Rattus norvegicus: one gene and its partners. The protein of the gene in region 3 purifies or fractionates together with the protein of the main gene of each other region. This does not show direct contact. Links are inferred from orthologs where the notes say so. Each region holds a gene or a part of one and is shown on either strand. Other genes may lie near its edges.

Evidence for each region. Proteins that work in one complex are often made in the same cells at the same time.
Region 1: the proteins of Slc38a9 (region 3) and Lamtor4 purify together in Homo sapiens (affinity purification with mass spectrometry; 4 studies listed by BioGRID and IntAct, with this or other methods). This does not show direct contact. The link is inferred for Rattus norvegicus from reciprocal best matches to the Homo sapiens genes SLC38A9 and LAMTOR4.
Region 2: the proteins of Slc38a9 (region 3) and Lamtor2 purify together in Homo sapiens (co-immunoprecipitation; 5 studies listed by BioGRID and IntAct, with this or other methods). This does not show direct contact. The link is inferred for Rattus norvegicus from reciprocal best matches to the Homo sapiens genes SLC38A9 and LAMTOR2.

Annotation. Positions count from the first base shown.
Region 1 is NC_086030.1:22,370,111-22,376,207, forward strand, and holds Lamtor4 (ragulator complex protein LAMTOR4), read left to right. Parts: upstream 1-2,158; 5' UTR 2,159-2,227; coding exon 2,228-2,230; intron 2,231-2,669; coding exon 2,670-2,750; intron 2,751-5,237; coding exon 5,238-5,355; intron 5,356-5,646; coding exon 5,647-5,744; 3' UTR 5,745-5,980; downstream 5,981-6,097. UniProt on the Homo sapiens protein: As part of the Ragulator complex it is involved in amino acid sensing and activation of mTORC1, a signaling complex promoting cell growth in response to growth factors, energy levels, and amino acids.
Region 2 is NC_086020.1:176,305,790-176,311,883, reverse strand, and holds Lamtor2 (ragulator complex protein LAMTOR2), read left to right. Parts: upstream 1-2,155; 5' UTR 2,156-2,231; coding exon 2,232-2,299; intron 2,300-2,596; coding exon 2,597-2,759; exon of another isoform or gene 2,760-3,986; intron 3,987-4,482; coding exon of another isoform or gene 4,483-4,560; coding exon 4,561-4,650; intron 4,651-5,354; coding exon 5,355-5,411; 3' UTR 5,412-5,531; downstream 5,532-6,094. Other genes in the region: Ubqln4 (ubiquilin-4), read right to left, coding at 1,161-1,268. UniProt on the Homo sapiens protein: As part of the Ragulator complex it is involved in amino acid sensing and activation of mTORC1, a signaling complex promoting cell growth in response to growth factors, energy levels, and amino acids.
Region 3 is NC_086020.1:46,033,908-46,039,929, reverse strand, and holds the start of Slc38a9 (neutral amino acid transporter 9), read right to left. Parts: upstream 3,863-6,022; 5' UTR 3,834-3,862; coding exon 3,724-3,833; exon of another isoform or gene 1-3,723.

The sequences.
Region 1 (6,097 bases), on a different chromosome or scaffold from region 3:
AGGAAAAAGCATCGGCCTTGGCGTCATACCATGGAGAGTGGGAACTAACTCTTCCACTGGCCGGTTGTACTGGATGCAGCTGGAGTTATTACAGGGAAGTTAAGGGGGTGCCATGATGGGCTTATGACTGAGAGTCTTAGATGAGTGTGGAGAGCGCTGCTCCCAGCCAGTGGTGAACGGTGACGGCACACAGCTGGAACCTTTGCACTTGGGAGGTGGAAACAGGAGCGCCAGGAACTCAAGGTCAGCCTAAGTTAGATGAAGTTCTGCCTCAAACAAGACAAAACAAACAAAACAAAACCATGTGATTCCTCAGCATCATGGGTATCTAAGGCCTGGGAGGGCCTGAATGTTTAGCATCTTTGAACAGCTTTCTCTTCACAGTCTCTGCCAATTTAAAATTTCTTTCAAGACCACCCCACTAGTTAGCTTAAAATAGCCTCTAACTCAAGTTCCTTCCACTTCCCTCCCAGCTTTGGGATTATAGGTATGCATCACCACAGCCACTTAAGTTTAAATTGTATATTGTAATTATACTTTTTTATATTTTCATTTTTATGGTTTTGGTTTTTCAGTACAGGGTTTCCTCTGTGTAGCCCTGGCTGTCCTGGAACTCACTCTGTAGACCAGGCCGGCCTTGAACTCAAGAGATCTGCCTGCCTCTGCCTCCCAAAAGACAAGATTAAAGCTATGTACCACCACTTCTTGGCTTTTTATATCTATTTTTAATGTGTGTGTGTGTGTGTGTGTGTGTGTGTGTGTGTGTGTGTGTCCATGTGTACCGTAGCTCACAAGTGTAGGTTTGAGAACTATTTGTGGGGTTGGTTGTTTCCTTTAACAATGTGGGACTCAGTGATCAAACTCAGGTTATTAGGCTTGGCGGCAAGCACCTTTGCCTGCTGAGCCTCTTTGCTGGCCCTACTTCAAAATTGTTGCCATGTTGAATTCCGGGCCTGGGCATGCTGGGCAAGTGTTCAAACTCAGACCCATGCCTCATTTTTAAAGACATGCATTTTCTCTAATTAGCTGCTTCTCCTAAACCAAGACGATTTGGGGTGGAGGACTTTCTTTCTTGAGCTATGATTAGTGCTGGGGATACAGACCAGATGGAGAGCTCTTACCCAGCATGCGCAAGGCCCTTACTTTGCTTCTCGGCACTGAAAATAAGGGGGGGGGGGGGGAGGGTTATATAATTCACAGATCTTGAAACATTTTAATTCAAAGTGTACAACCTATGTCACAGTCACAAAGATAGGCAGACTTCAATACGAATCCCAAAAAGTTTAAATCACACGTGCCACTCCCCCCCCCCCCTTAATAGGCACTTCCTATTTTCTCTTGCCTCACTACCGACCACTAACTGCTTTCACGTTTTTCTGGATTTGCCAGAAGTGTATGTGTTTTAGTTAGGCTCCTGGTAGGTAGCTCAGGCTGGCACTGAACTCACTATTCAGTCCAATCTGGCCTGAACTTGAAACCCCCTTCCTTGGCTTCCCAGGATTTATACCAGTATTACAAGTATTCAGCGTCAGTCACAGCTAAGCATCTTACATAGATGGAACCACATAATATGTGGTCTTATGTGACTGCCCTTTCAAGCCAGTCCTTCTGGTTGATTCTGAGCCTCTAAAGGCTGAGTTGTCTCTGAAGCTATTCTTCTGGCTTGCTTTAACTTGCTTTCGAGATTCTCAAGTTGCTCTTGGTGTCAGGACGTTTTTCCCTTGTATTGATAATATACTACAGTGTGCATATATACACCAAATTTGATTTACCCATTCATATTTGGGTCGTATACTAAGGCAGAAAATTAACACGTGAACAGTTTTTCATGTGTAAACCATCGTCATTCACATTAACTTCTCTTTTCAGGTTGAACCGTGACACCTAACGGGGAAAGCTCTTTACAACACTAGACTGCATTACTTTCTCCTTGGAAGCCTAGGCGCACGCGCACGTTCGTGAGGAGGTGGAGAGGTGCCCCGCCCCTCGCTCAATAACTCTTCAGATAATCTCGCAGGCGAATCCTGAGTGGCGAGGAAATGCAACCAATCCACGAATGTGTCCGGAAAGCGGCGCTCCGCAGTGGTTGATAAAGTCTGATGACGTACGCACCATCCAATGCGCAAGCGAAGGGCTGGGCTAGAGTCAGCTGGTGAACCACCTGACCGGAGCCTGGAGCCGGAAGCTACCTATCCGGTAGACAGCTCCCCCTGCACCTACGGCTGCCATGGTGAGTGAGGACGCATGCGCGGGCTTGTGCGCCTAGGGTTGCGCGTCCCTGTTCCCCAAACTTCGGTTACCCCCTTATGGCTTGCACTCCGCTGTCACCCCCAGTCCACCCTGGGACCGAAAGGAAACAGAGATGGAAGGGAGGCGACCGGGAGGGCTGGAGAAGGAAGGCTCCGCTACCGGGTGTTTTGCGGCCGGGAGTAGTTTTGATGGCACAAGGGGCGGGGCATAAGGGCACTGGAATGAGAAGGGGCTGTGAAGCTAGGAAGGTCTCCTGGGTCACCTGCCTGACAAGTGGAAGAGCTCAGGCGTCCAATAGTGACCATGGATGGAGACTCAGTGTTACAAGCCATTTAGAGGGTCTGAAAGGCTTATATCCAGGAGGGAGATGGGTTTACAAGGCTGTCATGGTTCTCACCTCTTGCCTCTTTACCCACTAGACTTCCGCACTGACCCAAGGGCTGGAACGAATCCCAGACCAGCTTGGCTACCTGGTGCTGAGCGAAGGTGCAGTGCTAGCGGTGCGTTGTGGGAAAGCGAGGCATGGGGTGGTGGCGGTGACGGGGTCCTTTGGGGACACACAACCCAGAAATCCCTTCAAATATTTCCCGCTTTCTCTCAGTTGTCTACTTTTGTCCTCTCTGTGGTTCCCTGCTTGCCATATTTAATGTTTGGATATATGGTATAAATGCTTATTTCCAAAAGGTTGGGGTTATAGCTCAGTCAGGAGAGTGAGTTACTTAGCACGTACAAAGCCTTCAGTTCAATTCCCAATACTGCACAAAACCAAACACAGAGGCACGTGATCTGTAGCCCCAGCACTTGGAAGGTGGAAACCGGCAGATTAGAAATTCAGGTTCATCTTTGGCTATGTATCAAGTCAAATCACAGTCTGGACCACATGTAACTCAGCCTCAAAAAACAAAAACCAAACTTTACCAAAGTCATTCAATTAGTTAGTTACTTGTAGTATGTTTTTATTTGGGATATCTTTAAAAAAGCCGAGGACAACCTTTGGGAGTGAGTTCTCCTCCTGCCATGCGGGTCCTGAGGATTGAAATCCGGTCCTTAGGCAAGCACTTTTATGCTCTGAGCCATTTCACCTGCCCCTAGAATTTTGGGGGGCGGGGGCAAGACTTCTCTAGAGGCAAGGATTGAGCTGAGCTGCTAAGACAGAAGGTTGTGAACGAGGAAGAGAATTCTCAGGGCTGGGAGCTGGACATACTTGCCTGAGTGTAACAGCGCCTGGTTGTGGTCTTGTGTTGAAACAGTTTGAAGAGGAAGGATGCTGTGGTAAGACTCTGATACTGAACTTCCTATGGCTAGCTTCAATATCTTTGGACAAATCTTGAGGGTTACTTAAAGGGTTTTGAAAACATAAATGTGACTCACAGAAATGGTGTAGCATGACTGTCCCAGGAGAGCCATCTAAGAGACTGGCCGGGTAGCAATGAGAAGTAAGGGCTATAGACATTGTATCTATTTTTTTAGTGTCTGCACATGTGTGTGCCCATGCATATGCTAAGACCAGTGTAGGACATTAGAGACCTCCTCTTACCCTTCTCTGCCTTATTCCTTGAGGCAGGGTCTCATACTGAACCTGGAGCTAGACTGGCAACACTGAGCAAGCCTTAGCAATCAACCTGCCTGTACACCCACAGTACTGGGATTCCAGGTGTGAGCATGGCCATGTAGGGTAGGGGATTTGAACTCAGGTCCTCTTGCTTGTACAGCAAGCGCTCTTATCCACTGAGCCATTGCCACAGCCCAGAGATCACATCTTAGAGGTATTAATATATGTTGGTAATAACTAGGTAAAGTACTTCTGCATGTACCTTACCTTTCTGATGTACTCATCCTGTAGGACTCTGAGCAGGGAAAACCAGAAAAGTACTGTGGTACCTGAACAAATAAGAAAGTAAAAAAGGAAGCTGACCAAGGAGGTAGCTAAAGGGAATTTTGATGGCCTGACTATAGACAGGAGATGAGTGAGGTCTGAGATGAGTGAGATGGACTGATAGCAGTTATAGTACATTTATTATGTAGGCACTGTTATAATATTCTCATTGTTTTCTCATGAAACTTCCACAAGCACAGAATATGGGTCCAATATACAGATGGAGAAACTGAGAGCAAAAGGAACTAAATCTAGTAAAGGGCCCATTTAGAATCAGTGGGAAGAGGGAGTAGAAGCAGTTTGTCCAGAGAAGTCTGGACTACTGTCTTCTCATTGACCCTAGAAGTAGCCAGAGGGAAAGCTTCAAAGACAAAGTAGGTGTTTCTGGTTCATAGCCTTCAGACAAGGACAAGTGGGAAGACTGGGGACAAGTGGAACCTTCAAAGATTGAGCAGTTAGCTTAGTGGTAGAACATCTTCCTAGAATCCTCTGTGAGGGGCTGAAGGCATGGGTCAGTAGTAGAACACTTGCCCAGGAGTCCCCCAGTGAGGGGCTGGGGGCGTGGCTCAGTGGTAGAGCCCCTGCCTAGAATCCCCCCAGTGAGGGGCTGGGGGTGTGGCTCAGTGGTACAGCCCCTGCCTAGAATCCCCCAGTGAGGGGCTGGGGGCGTGGCTCAGTGGGAGAGCCCCTGCCTAGAATCCCCCAGTGAGGGGCTGGGGGTGTGGCTCAGTGGTACAGCCCCTGCCTAGAATCCCCCAGTGAGGGGCTGAGGGCGTGGCTCAGTGGTACAGCCCCTGCCTAGAATCCCCCAGTGAGGGGCTGGGGGTGTGATAGATCACTTGGTAATCACACCCTAGGTTTTGATTTTCTGCATGGCTATCAGTAGAGTTGCAAAAGAAGCCTGGTGTCTCAGAATGAGAAACAAAATGGCACAAGGGAAGGCAGCACCATCATAAAGGGGTTTTAGGTAGGATTTTTCTGAAGCTGGGTGATTTGGGACTACAGACAAGGGAGACCATAACAAGTATAGGAAACAGAGGTCCTGTGCCTTGAATTTGTTCCCAACTCTGGCCTCTTTCTTTTGTTCCTGCCCCCCTTCACCCACATGCAGTCATCTGGGGATCTTGAGAACGATGAGCAGGCAGCCAGCGCCATCTCAGAACTGGTCAGCACAGCCTGTGGCTTCCGGCTGCACCATGGCACGAACATCCCTTTCAAGCGCCTGTCTGGTGAGCTCCTGCCTTTGTTGGGTGGTTGCTTCTAGAGACCTCTCTGCTCAGGGAAGGAATTCCTGGCTCCATTCCACTGACTCCCAGTTCCTCCTGGGGTTCCTGGTTCAACTACTGCCTTCATATAGGTTCCTCTAGGACGAGTACGGAGCAGTAAGAACGAGAAGAGGTTTGCACAGCTGCCTGACCTCTGTGATCTACATAATTGCTTTGTCCCATCCCAGCCAATTTTGTTGTGATCCTCCATGGTGGCCGCTGTACACACTAACTCTCGCTCTCTTCCCTCTCCAGTGGTCTTTGGTGAACACACGCTGCTGGTGACTGTGTCAGGACAGAGGGTGTTTGTGGTCAAGAGGCAGAACCGAGGTCGGGAGCCTATTGATGTCTGAGCTATAAAAGGCACTGGCTGGAGAAGAGGACTGCCTCTGGGGCCTATGGCGGGGGGACATCATCTTCTACTGTGCTTGTTGGAGCTGGGCTTGTGCTTACCATCTCCTTCCTGACCCCCACCTGAGGCACAAAGGCTTGGCAACTTGTGTGCTAAGGAAAAAGGGAAACTATGACTAGGGGGATCCCCTTTCTTCCCTTCTGCATAATAAACTCTAGTCCAACCCTTCCAGGGCTCAGGATGTGTGCACACAGTGGTTTGTCTGGGTGGGGGTGAGGTTTCATTTTCTGCCTATCACCAACCTTCTAGGGAGACCGCTATGCCTCAGTCCCTCAGTCAGCGGGCCAAGACCAC
Region 2 (6,094 bases), about 130 Mb from region 3:
CAGTCTTCTCCCTGCTCTTAATTCCCAGCTTCCTCATAATTATAACAAATCGTCTAGGAATTACTGAGGTCTATTGAGTAATCTAGTGTGTCAGTTATCATTGCCATCTCATTTTATCTATCTATCTATCTATCTATCTATCTATCTATCTCTATCTATCCATCTATCCATCCATTCATCATCTATCTAGAGGGTCTCTAGCTCTTGCTGTCCTGGAACGCTTCATATAGACCTCGAACTCAGAGAGATCCACCTGCTTCTGCCTCCCAAGAGCTGGGATTTTAAAGATAAGGATCAGAGAGTGAATAACGCATCCGGGGGAAATAGGAACTCAAGTCTGGACATCAGACACATCTTCAATAAGAGCTGTTTTGTAATTCACCTTTTCCCGGGAGACTTGAAATTCTTGCATGAGAAAGCAGCAGTGTTACCAAAGGCTACACCGGGGCGAGTTAAATTTTTTAGATTCTATCAGCTCCTTCCAAAACACAACAACACAACACATACTCTAACTATAAACAGTGCACTTGCTAAGCAAAGATCCCTCTTCCAACCAGATGGCCTATCCTAAGCCCCGCCTATGTGCAATTCTGAAGCAGCTTCAAGCAGTGGGGGACACAGACAGGCAATAGTCCCTCACTTATTCTACATTATTTTGTTGAGCACCTACTGCGCTCAGTAAATGTGGTGGAGCAGAAAGAAAACTGAACTACACAACCGTTTCGATTTGCGACAAGGAGAGTCTGTGGAGAGAAGAGAGAGCACCACCACCACGAGACACTCCCAGGGGAGCATAGCCGCAGCTCGCTCGGGCCTCACTGTACCTCAGCGCCTGGAACCTCCACCAATAACCCTGGCGCACACTCCCCTCAAGCCTAGGATCCTTCTGGAGCCTGCAAGCAAGGTGTCCCTTCCTCAAGCTCCCCCACCACGCCCCCAGCCCTGGTAGTGCGGCCAAATCGGCCCCTACCCGCGCCACACTCCCCGGACTAGCCCGGGTAGGGCGCCCCCTACCCGCCTCTCCCGCCTGGATGCCCCTGGGTTCCGCCCCGGCCGGGGGCCCGTCCCCGGCGCCAGGCCGTTCCCCTAGGTCTTCCTCTCTACGCTGACCCCTCAGTGCGCTGCTCCCGCCCTCCTCTCTCCCGCGCCAGCCCTACTACCTCCTTGACCGAGGCTTGATCGCAGATCAGGATCTCCTCCTTGTCCTTGGGGGTCTTGACGGTGACCCGAATCTGGGGCCTCGTCTCAGCCCCACTCGGCTCCGCCATGCCGCCGCCCGGCCGCCCGCCAGCCCGCCCAGCTCCTCCTCCTCCTCCTCCTCCTGGCCCGCCCGGCCCGGCTCGGCTCCGGAGCCTCCAACTCCCCCTCCCGCCCCTCCCCAAGGCTCCGCCGCCCCCTCCGGACAGCTGCAGCCACAGCGCCCCGGGCGGCCTGGGGGGGCACTGCAGTTGGGGCGGCCCGGGCCCGAGCGGGGTGCGCAGCTGGCCCGGGCCGGATAGTGCGGCCCGCGCAGAGGGCGGGAGATTCAGGGCCGCCCGCGGTTCCGTCCCGTTTGGACAAAGGACTTTCGGTGTCGCCGTCTCATCTCCGTTCCCCGAGGTAACTATTTTTCTTGAAAGGCAGAATCGGCCAGGCCTAGGTTCGTTCCTGGCTCAGGGCGTCCTTAAAACCTCTGCAGATTCTAACAGTCGTGACCTCCCGGGAACCGCCCCGAGGGGGCCATTAAGGACGGTTTCAGAGACCTGGAGTTTGCCTACGTGGCTTCTCTGAGCCCTGGGTGTCAAGAAAGCAAGACTCTACAGAATTGTGACTAGCGTACAATATTGCTTTAAAAAATGGCTAAGGATGTGCCTAACAGATACAGAGATTTATTATTAGATTGCGATTGACCAGTAGGCACGGAGGCGCCCTTCGCGTGGAAGAGGTTAAAAGTCCTTCCAACATTGCCACTGTCCTTGCGCTCCCGCTCTTTTCCCCCCCACAGCCACATGGTCTGACTGAAAAGCTGAACTATAGTTCCCAGAATTCCTTGAGCGGTCACAAAAAACTACGATTCCCAGAGGCCCCCGCGCGGGGCGGGAATTGGACCACAGCCTCAGTAAATAAGCCCGGTGACTACAACTCCCAGGTGCCTCGTAGCTGGGCTTCCGGGCCACCGGAAGCGATGAGGGAGGGCAAGAGGCTGCGACTGTAGTGTTTGTGGGAGCAGGTCAGGGTTAAGAGACGCAGGCATGCTGCGTCCTAAGGCTTTGACGCAGGTGCTAAGCCAAGCCAACACTGGAGGAGTCCAAAGTACCCTGTGAGTGAACAACAAGAACCCAAACAGCGAGCGCTGAAATGGGGCGGCGTGCGGATCCCTGCAGTAGGGGTAGGGAAGGAGCCCTGCGCCGGGAGGTGGCTAATGTTGCAAACTGCAGCTTCGGGAACCCTGCGTGAGGGCCTCCTCCGAAAGGGGAATCGACAGTTGATTAGCATGTTCCTGGATATATCCAGCACAGATTCTTGCTTCCTGAAAGCGCAAGTAGCTGGAATTGGGATAGGAACTCAGGCCTTTTACTCTTCCTGAGTTTGTTGATATCCTTCCCATTCTTGTCAGGCTGCTGAATAATGAGGGATCGTTGCTGGCCTACTCCGGTTATGGGGACACAGATGCCCGGGTCACCGCGGCCATCGCCAGTAACATCTGGGCCGCATACGATAGGAACGGGAACCAAGCGTTTAATGAAGACAGTCTCAAATTTATCCTCATGGACTGCATGGTATGAAGTAAAGTAGGCTGACCTCGAACTTACAATGATCATTGTGCTTCTGCCTTCTGAATACTGAATTTGCATGTGTTCACAGTCGCACCTTGCCAAATAAAACGTAGATATTAAAAAAGGAAGTGAGAGTAGGGTGCAGGCCTATGTAAGGGTCAATCTCAGCGAAAAGGAGACATTTGTTAAAAGATCTGGAAGACGATTGGAAAGGGTAAGAGCCATGAAGAGATCTTTTGGAAAAATATTTCTAGCAGTGCTGGCTATGGTGGCTTATTCCTCTAGACTAGTACACAAGAGACTGAGGCAGGATCTCTTTTTTTTTTTTTTTTTTTTTATAAGCTCTTTTTTTTTTTTTTTTAAAGATTTATTTTATTTATATGAGTACACTGTAGCTGTCTTCAGACACACCAGAAGAGGGCATCGGATCCCATTACAGATGGTTGTGAGCCACCATGTGGTTGCTGGGAATTGAACTCAGGACCTCTGGAAGAGCAGTCAGTGCTCTTAACCACTGAGCCATCTCTCTAGCCCCGAGGCAGGATCTCTTTGAGTGTTTATTTTCTTTTTCTTTTTTGGTTTTGTTTTTTTTTTTTGGTTTTTTTTTTTGAGACAGGGCTTCTCTACGCAGCCCTGGTTATCCTGGAAGTCTGTAAAATCAGGGGGACCTCAAAATCTGAAATCTGCTAGCCTCTGCCTCTCAAGTACTGGGACTAAAGGCGTGCACCACCAACGACCAGCCGTTGCACGTATTTCCGACAACAGTTGTTGCAAAGGACCTAGGGCAGAGTGATGCCAGGACAAAGATCAGTAAGGATGGAGTGTCATAGAATGGAGAAAAGTTATTAGGAGATAGCACTAAAGAGGCCTGTGGGCTTCCCAGTCCTCTGAAGAATGATAGTGTGCAGAGCACTGCTGTTCTCTGGCTGCCCATTCTTTACACCCCTCTTACCCACTGCTGGACTCCTACCGGGTGCTGGGTCTAGGGCTGGTGCCATTGAACAGAAGCTTCAAAGGCATTCACTGCAGCCCAGCTATAAGAAATGCATTTTAATGGACAGATGGTGGAGCTCAGTGGTAGAGCAGTAGCTTAGAATGTATGGGATTCTAGAATCTATTCCTAGAAACACAATTTGTGTTTTTGAGTCAGAGCCTAGCACACACACTAAAGCAAGTTCCGTGAAGCATCACTTCTCTTAATAAATGAGCCATTTTATTTTTACTTTCAAATGTTGATCCACTTTAATTGATCTCCATTTTGAACAGTTACAAAGTAGGAAAAGAGACATGTAAGTTGTGTGTGTGTGGGGGTCGTTGTTACCTTTTTAAGGTTTATTTTATTCTGTATGTGTGAGTTGCTATGCCCGGATGTTATATTGAGCACCATGTGCATGCACAGTGCCCTCGGGGTGAAAGAAGGCATTGGATCCCCTAAACTAGATGATTGGCAGCACAATGTTGCTGTTGGGAATCGAACTCAAGTCTACTGCAAGAGCAACAAACAAGTTGGGCTATTGTTCCTGGTCCCTCACCTGTTGAGACAATTCAGCATTAGAGAAGAAAGCCCCAATTTCTCAAAGACTTGGTTCCCCAGGATAACTTGGTTAGGACATGGCTCTGCTGAGGCTGGAATTCAGTTTCAGACCCCCATAGCTTAAATGCTGGGCAAAGTTCCCTGTCTGAACTGCCTGCTCTGCCAAGCTTGGGAGACAATATCTATCTCTAGGACCAGAGGAACCCTGGGGAAGGCAGGAACCAAGGATGTCAAGCAGAGTGCCCCAGTGTATTATGTCATTCCCACCAGGAGGGCCGTGTAGCCATTACCAGGGTGGCCAACCTTCTGCTATGTATGTATGCCAAGGAGACTGTAGGCTTCGGGATGCTCAAGGCCAAGGTGAGTACATTCCTATGCTACAAACTTCCTGGGCTGGAACCAGATCTACCTATGCACACCCTTGCTCTGAATAAGGACATGGAATCTTTAATTAGCTTTATTATAAATTTTGGGCACTATAGCTGGGCAGATTCTCAACTGTTCTAACCCAACAATACTGGCTTGGCCTACGTCCCATCCCATGTCCCATTACCTGTCCATCTTCGTCATGTCCCGGCACCTGCTTCTTCATCCTTGTCCAGCTGCTGACTCCTCAGGGCTGACTCTCAGAATTCCTATCTCTTCCTAGAAGTTCCACCTTCTACTTCCTGCCTCTGCTGTAGACCATCAGCTCTTTAGTAAGCTGATGAGAGGGTGAGAGAGAGTGTATACAAATACGTAGCCAAATGAACCAAAGTCCAGTCTGCACTCAACTCTGCTGGCACAGAGGTCTGCATTTGAATAATACAAAGACAATCTTTACATAGCACACAACTGTATCAGCCCAGCATTGGTCCCAGCCACTGTGCCTGTTCACTGTGTTCCTTACATGTCCCCTTTCTAGAGTCCTCATAGCCCCTCACTCATGTCTGGGGTGGGCCAAAGAGCCATGGGGGTGGGCTGGGGATGGTTGGTTGGTAAGTGTGGGGTAGGGAGCCAACCTGGTTTTGGGATCTGTCTGAGCATAAGCAATGCATGGACTGACTCGTGCTCTCACCTTGCAGGCCCAGGCCTTGGTGCAGTACCTGGAGGAACCCCTCACCCAAGTAGCAGCCTCATAATAGTGTGATGGAAGCTGGAGTGGAAAAGGGATCGTGATTGGGAAGAGCAGGGCCCCGGAAATGCCTCACTGGGCTGGGTGAGGGGTTGCTTTTTTCTAAATAAATTTTCAACTCTTGCCTATGTCTCAGCTGCTTTCTTGGGAGGAAGGACTCAGGAGGGAGGAAGGACTGGGGTGGTTTACTTAAGAGGATTCCTCATCTCCTGCAAAGGTGGGCTCTCCCAGTGGTTCTTGGCAAGGCTGCTGTGCCCTTGGCTTCTCCAGTGCTGTGCCTCACCTTACTCATAATTGCTTTTCTTTCTTTCATTAATTTACATATTTATTCAATTTACACCTCAAAAAGCTCCCCTTCCGTCCTCCCAGAATTGCTTTTCTTTAAGCAAATTTTTTATATTCTATTTTTTTTTTAAAGATTTATTTTTTATTTGAGTACACTGTAGCTGTCTTCAGACGCACCAGAAGAGGGCATTGGATCCCATTAGAGATGGCTGTGAGCCACCATGTGGTTGCTGGGAATTGAACTCAGGACCTCTGTAAGAGTAGTCTGTGCGCTTAACCACTGAGCCACCTTCTAACCCCTATTCTGTGTTTTAAAGATGGGGTTTCTCTGTGTAGCCCTGGCTGTCTTGGAACTCTCTCTATAGATCAGGCTGGCTTCATACTCCTCTCTGCCTGCCTCTGCCT
Region 3 (6,022 bases):
AATATACCCTGTTAGATTAAAATTTCGAGGAACTGAACTCCTGCCAACTCATTGTAATGGAATGCACTTTAATGACCTATGTCTTATTGTCACAGTGGCCGATTATTTAGCACAGAACTTGGAAGCTTCAAGAAAACTCTGAACATTGTCAGCATTTGTAAATGCATACATTCACCGAGACTGGAATATACCAGTAAGAATCAACATTACCAACTTCTCTATTTCTTCTGATAGCCACTGTTAACGACGACTTCTTCAGGGATAAATTTTACACTTCCAGTTGTAGCTACAAGAAAAACTGAAAAATCAAGTATCTGAAGAAGGGGTTACAATGGGTTACAATACAAGAATGGGTTGCCAGGCTCAGCTCACTGTCATCTGTCTGCTGCAGCTCTTAAGCAGACTAACCCTCCGCTGACAGGAAGGAGGGTGGCAATGACTAGGTGCTGACTATCTGCTAACACTGCACCAGGCTCCCTTACCTCAGCTGTGCGGTCCCTCTCAGCCATCTGAGCCCTCCCCAGACCTCATCTACATATACTGCATGGTCTACAATGCAGTAACTGACTGTACATGAATGGTGGCGGACTACAGATACTGCTCTGCACTTCACTTTTTCCTTTCAACAAAATAACGAGTTGTTCCATTTTGTTATATCATAAGGCCACCTCCTTTGTTTTAGATGAAAAATATTCCACTGTATGAATATGCCATAATTAAGTTTTCAGTCCTGGAAGAAAACACATTTTAGTTGCTTTCTTAGCAACTTACATGACCCTGTGTACACACCGCCTGACACCGTAAAGCAGTGTGTGTAGCAGTGAGATCGCTGATGCACAGAAACCTCAGAATTGACTGCTGGGATTTGAGTGTAGGATCACACGAACTTTGTGGGTAAAATTCTTTTTTTCTGGGTGCACATCTCTGTGTGCACATGTGTATGTATGCATTTGTGAGCACATCAGGTATCTACTTGAACTGCTTCTCTCTCTCTCTCTCTCTCTCTCTCTCTCTCTCTCTCTCTCTCTCCCTCTCCTTCATTTATTGGCATATTTGAGGTGGTGTATTCATTCATTCATTCATTCATTTGCTTATTTATTTACTGTGATAGTCTCTCACTAGCCTGGAGCTCATCAGTTTGGCTGGGCTAGCTAGCCAATGCTCTCCAGAAGCCCTGCCTCCCTAGTGTGGCGATTACAGGTATGCACCACAGCTCCTGGATTTTATATGGATGCTGGAACCCAAATTCAGGTGCTCAAGTTTGTATGATAAATACTTCACTGGCAGAACCTCTCTCCTGGATTGAAGCCCCCTGGATTACAATTTTATTCTTCCTGCCTGGAGTAGACGATGACTTTCTGTCATACTGATACTGATAACATACTTTTCTAATATATACATTTAAACGTTTCTAAATGAGGACACCTCATAATCTTTAACACCCAATGTCTGAATCACTGTTGGCCGGGTGGTGGTATGATGGCTACCTCTAGTGGTGTGTGACAAATAACTGCCATCCTGGGCCACCTCAGTCAAACCACAGAACCACTTCAGGAAGGACTGGGATCCGTAAGAGAAGACCTCTCCTGACACCATCTGGTGAGACCAGGACAGTACAAGTACAGGGATCTGCGAGCATCCTCAGAGCTGCTGGAGAAAATCAAGGAAGGTTGTGTCATCAAAGTCACCCACTCTCACAACTGTCCACGCAGGAGGGACACACAACATGTCTGATGACCAAATCAAAAAGTGATCCAGAAGAATCAGGTTTTCTAAGTGTGAGGTGTTATAATGTCTTAACCAATGCATGTTGTTTCTATGATCAACGTTTATAGTTCTATAAGAGACAAATGAGAAATAACACACAATATGGTCAAGAGTTCTTTCAGTGAAAAGAAAGCAAAAATTCCAAGTCCAGGTTTTTACATGTATAATACCCACAGACAGTGTGCAGTGTACGCCTGTGTGTTGTGCGTTGGGTTTTTTGAAATGGTCTGTTTATGTGTCTGGGTGCTTTGTCTGCAAGAATGTCTGTGCACCATGGGCACGACTACTGCTGATGGAGGACAGAAGGAGTCAGATCTCCTGGGATTGGAATTACACATGGTTATGAGCTATCATGTATGTATGTGCTAGGAATCAAACCCATGTCCTCTGGAAGAAAAGCCAGTTCTCTTAACCACTGAGCTTCATTCCAGACCCTCTTTGTCTGTCTGTCTGTCTGTCCGTCTACCTCTACCTACCTACCATTCAAGACAAGGTCTCAGTACGTAGCTCTAGCTCTCCTGGAACTCACTCTAGAGCAGACTGGCCTCAAACCCATAGGACTCTGCCTGTTTATACCTTATAAGTGTTGGGGTTAAAAGCGTGTACCACTATGCCAAGCTTTGTATATTCTAAATGCAATTTACAACCAAGAGCATCTCAGATTTGATGAAATACTCCAAATCCCATTTTGCATCATTCAGGAACATTTTAGTTTTTCTCGCAGATTTTGCATATTCCTGTTAAAACTACTTTAAGGATATTTTATAAATTTTTCTACCTCATTTCCTCACCGGAAGACTATTTATTTTTCGTTTAAACTTTTTATAACTTTCTTCCTTCATTTACTCAGTGTGAGAACACTCTAGTGCTATTGTGCATATGCAGGTCAGAACACTGGCACTGGGTAAGTTCCTCCCTCTCTCATGTGAGGCTTGGGGAGCTAACCCAAGTAGTCAGGCTTAGTGGCAAGAGCCTTTCCTGCTGAGCCATCTCTCTAGTGCCTCGGGTTTTTTGTTTTTTTTTTGTTTTTTTGTTTTTTTTTTTGGCGTGTTACTTCTTTTCTTTTCCAATAGACAAGGTATCACTAAGTAGCCCAGGCTGGCCCCAATCTCCTGCCTCTGCCTCTTGAGTGCTAACTGCTAGGTGTGTGCCGCCATTTTTGGTCTTCTTTTTTCCTATTTTGTAAGTAACCACTTTGTGTATGTGTGCCCGCAAATATGTTCACGCACTGAGGCCAGAGGAGGGCAATTATCCTCAGTCTTATTTCTAAGAGCCAGGGTCTTCCTTAGTCTGGAACTCCTGTTTGTTTGGTTTTTTTGTTTGTTTGTTTGTTTGTTTTTCAATCAGATTGGCAGCCAGCAAGTCATGGTGATCCTCCTGTCTCTACCCACTCCGTCACTGTGTCTTAGGTGTGCACAGGCTCACATCCAGCTTATGTGGTAGCTGGGATGCAGCCTTCGGTCCTCACCTCTGCACATCACACATTGTACCGCAGCATCTCTCAACCCAGTAACTATTTTCTTGAACTCACTCACTAGTCCTCTTTTCTACTTATTTTTTTTAAAGATTCTCTTGAGGTTTCCAATTATAAATTGAAAAATTATTTAATCTGAAATTATTTTAAATTATCTGCTGGTATTTAAATTAAGTGAAGGTAAAAGGCTATTCCTTTTCTATCTTTAGCATCGGATTACTTTGCGTGAAGTGGGTAATCACAGATATTTGAGTCAATTACATAAATGCATCCTACTTGATAGCAGACACGCTCATTCCAAGACACGAAAATGTGTAAACGAGGGCACAGGATTCGTGTCACCATATGCATATACATCAGAGTAAAAATTCTGTAAGAAAACGATTATTTCCCTATCAATACTATTGATCTTTTGGGCTGTAATGTATTATATCTTAATTGTTAGAAGCCCTAATTATGAAATAAACACATTAAGACCTTACCTTTTAGATCTTAGGTCTGAGGAGTCAAACTGGATATTCATAGGTCCGGGATTCACTTCATGTTCTACCTCAGAGATAAGATGCCTAGAGTCACTATCCACGTTTGCCATTTTTTCTCAGATTCCAGGCACTGGGGAAGGCAGTCCTATATGAACCAGAAAAAGGTAATTTAGTTTAGTCTTAAAAACATTTTACTATTTTTAATATATTTGCATGAAAGCAAAATAGAGAAGAATGGGGATTTGCTGTTGGTATCATTTTCAAAGACGGCTCACTGTTACCCAGTTTGGTCTCCCACTGCTGAGCAAGCCACGGACTATAGGTGTAAAGCCATCAGGGCTTAAATGGGGTATATGATTGACATTTATCAGAAATATTACTAACTTGACATTTTTCTCTTTCATCCTAAAGAAAAGTAAGTGAGACAATTCCTTTCCAGGAATATAAAGAGTCAGTTATTTGGAGCCAATCCTGGAATAGAATATTTTTAAAAATCTTTTTGAAAGGCTTAAAGAGAGAGAGAATGAAATCAGGTAAGCTGGCAGCAAAGAAAAGAAACACTGGAATGGCTGCAGGGAATGGCTGCTTTTTCAGAATTTGAACTGATGACTTCAAAGCCTCGAGACTTAGGGAAACAAACAGAGATCAAGGTCCACCTAAAGTAAAGACTGTGAGTTTCCCCTCAGAGCAGAGTACAAGGAGTAAAGGGGCCTCACTCCCTCACAAGGAAACTACATCTCCTTAGCACTGTGGCTAGTTAGTGGCTATCACATTAGGAGGTATAAAAAGAAAGCTCTTCAACTACAGAAAGTTCAGAAGATTAAAGGAAGCCAACCTCCCCGGTAAAGAGTCTAGCCAAACATCTCTCCTGAGTACACACCTGCATATTCAACTAGCTACTCAGCACCTTTAACCTAGTGTAGTTCTACAACTCACACTTAGCACGCTCCAAACTCGACTTCCTTCCTCAAACATGAAAAGACAAACCCCAAACCACATGCATACGGTTTTCTTACTTCAACTAGTGGAATCTTGGTCCTTCTGCTTATCTTACCAGAGACTTCTCACACTCAGCATCTAATCCATTTGGACTCTGATTGGCTCTTCCTTCACTAAAATCCAGAAGCACATCATCTCCCTTCCTTACTGTTGCAGCTGTTTTCTTGTTTTGAGAACTTTTTTTAATTATTATTACCGATATATGTGAAATTTTACTTTAAAATGCTTTAAATGTATTATATTCTCATCCTTGGTACTCATGCTTTAACAGAAACTGTTGAGAACAGGGCTGCCGGGAGGTTAAGGGGAGATGTAATGTTTTCTTCACCAGCTGGATCAGGATTTTTATTCTATTAGATCCTGGGAACTCTCACAGGAGTTACAATATAAGCCAAAGGGTACTATATTGATAAACTCTGGAATAGCTCATTTGCTGAAATACATTTTGTTTTGCTTACTTACTCTGTTTTCATTGAGGAACTCATCAGTGGTTCAATTAAAATCACCTAAGGTAAAAGGCCATCTTTCAATAACAGCAACATGGGACCTAAGACGGTTCCAATCCCGAGAAGATTGAAGGCCTCAGCCACATCTCTCTCTGCAGTCAGGCTCCCAACAGTACTCAATGTGAAGGGTAAAGAACTCTAGCAGATGAGTGGAACTTCCTGCTCTTATCCCCGCCCTACAGTTTATTCTACCACGAAGAGAGTAGAACAGAGCAATACAGAAGGAATTTGATGTCGTGCAATTAGTTGGTATAATTTGGGGGAGGATGTGTTTAACTGACAAATCAAGGACAGAGATCATAAGACACTAAACATTTTATAATGCATGAGACAACTTCTGTCCTGGAAACTACCCAGGTGGAACAGCATCCCTTCTGATGGCTGAGAGAACACGCTACTGGGATTAACAGGAAGACAGGAGATCGTATAGGGTATAGGCAGTGTTCACCTTCTTCAATCTAATTGTTACAGGCATATTTGCTCTATAACTCTATGTATGTGTGAGTGTGTATGCATTTAATGCACTTCTGTGTATGCATACTTCACTGTCCAATGCAAAGAACTACATAAAATGAAATGCACTGTGAGCTGTAAAAGCCATTGTTGCTCTTATTCTTAACTGTTTAAGTTACTGTTGGTATGGCAACTGTTTAAGTTACTGTTGGTATGGCTGTTTATGTAGAAAGATAAAAGGTGCAAGGGACCAATTATGGACTCTCAGAACTAGGTAATCCAAGTTTGAGCTGACCCCTCTTCACCAGTGCTAGGCCGTCTGTCCTACTCTCTGTCCCACC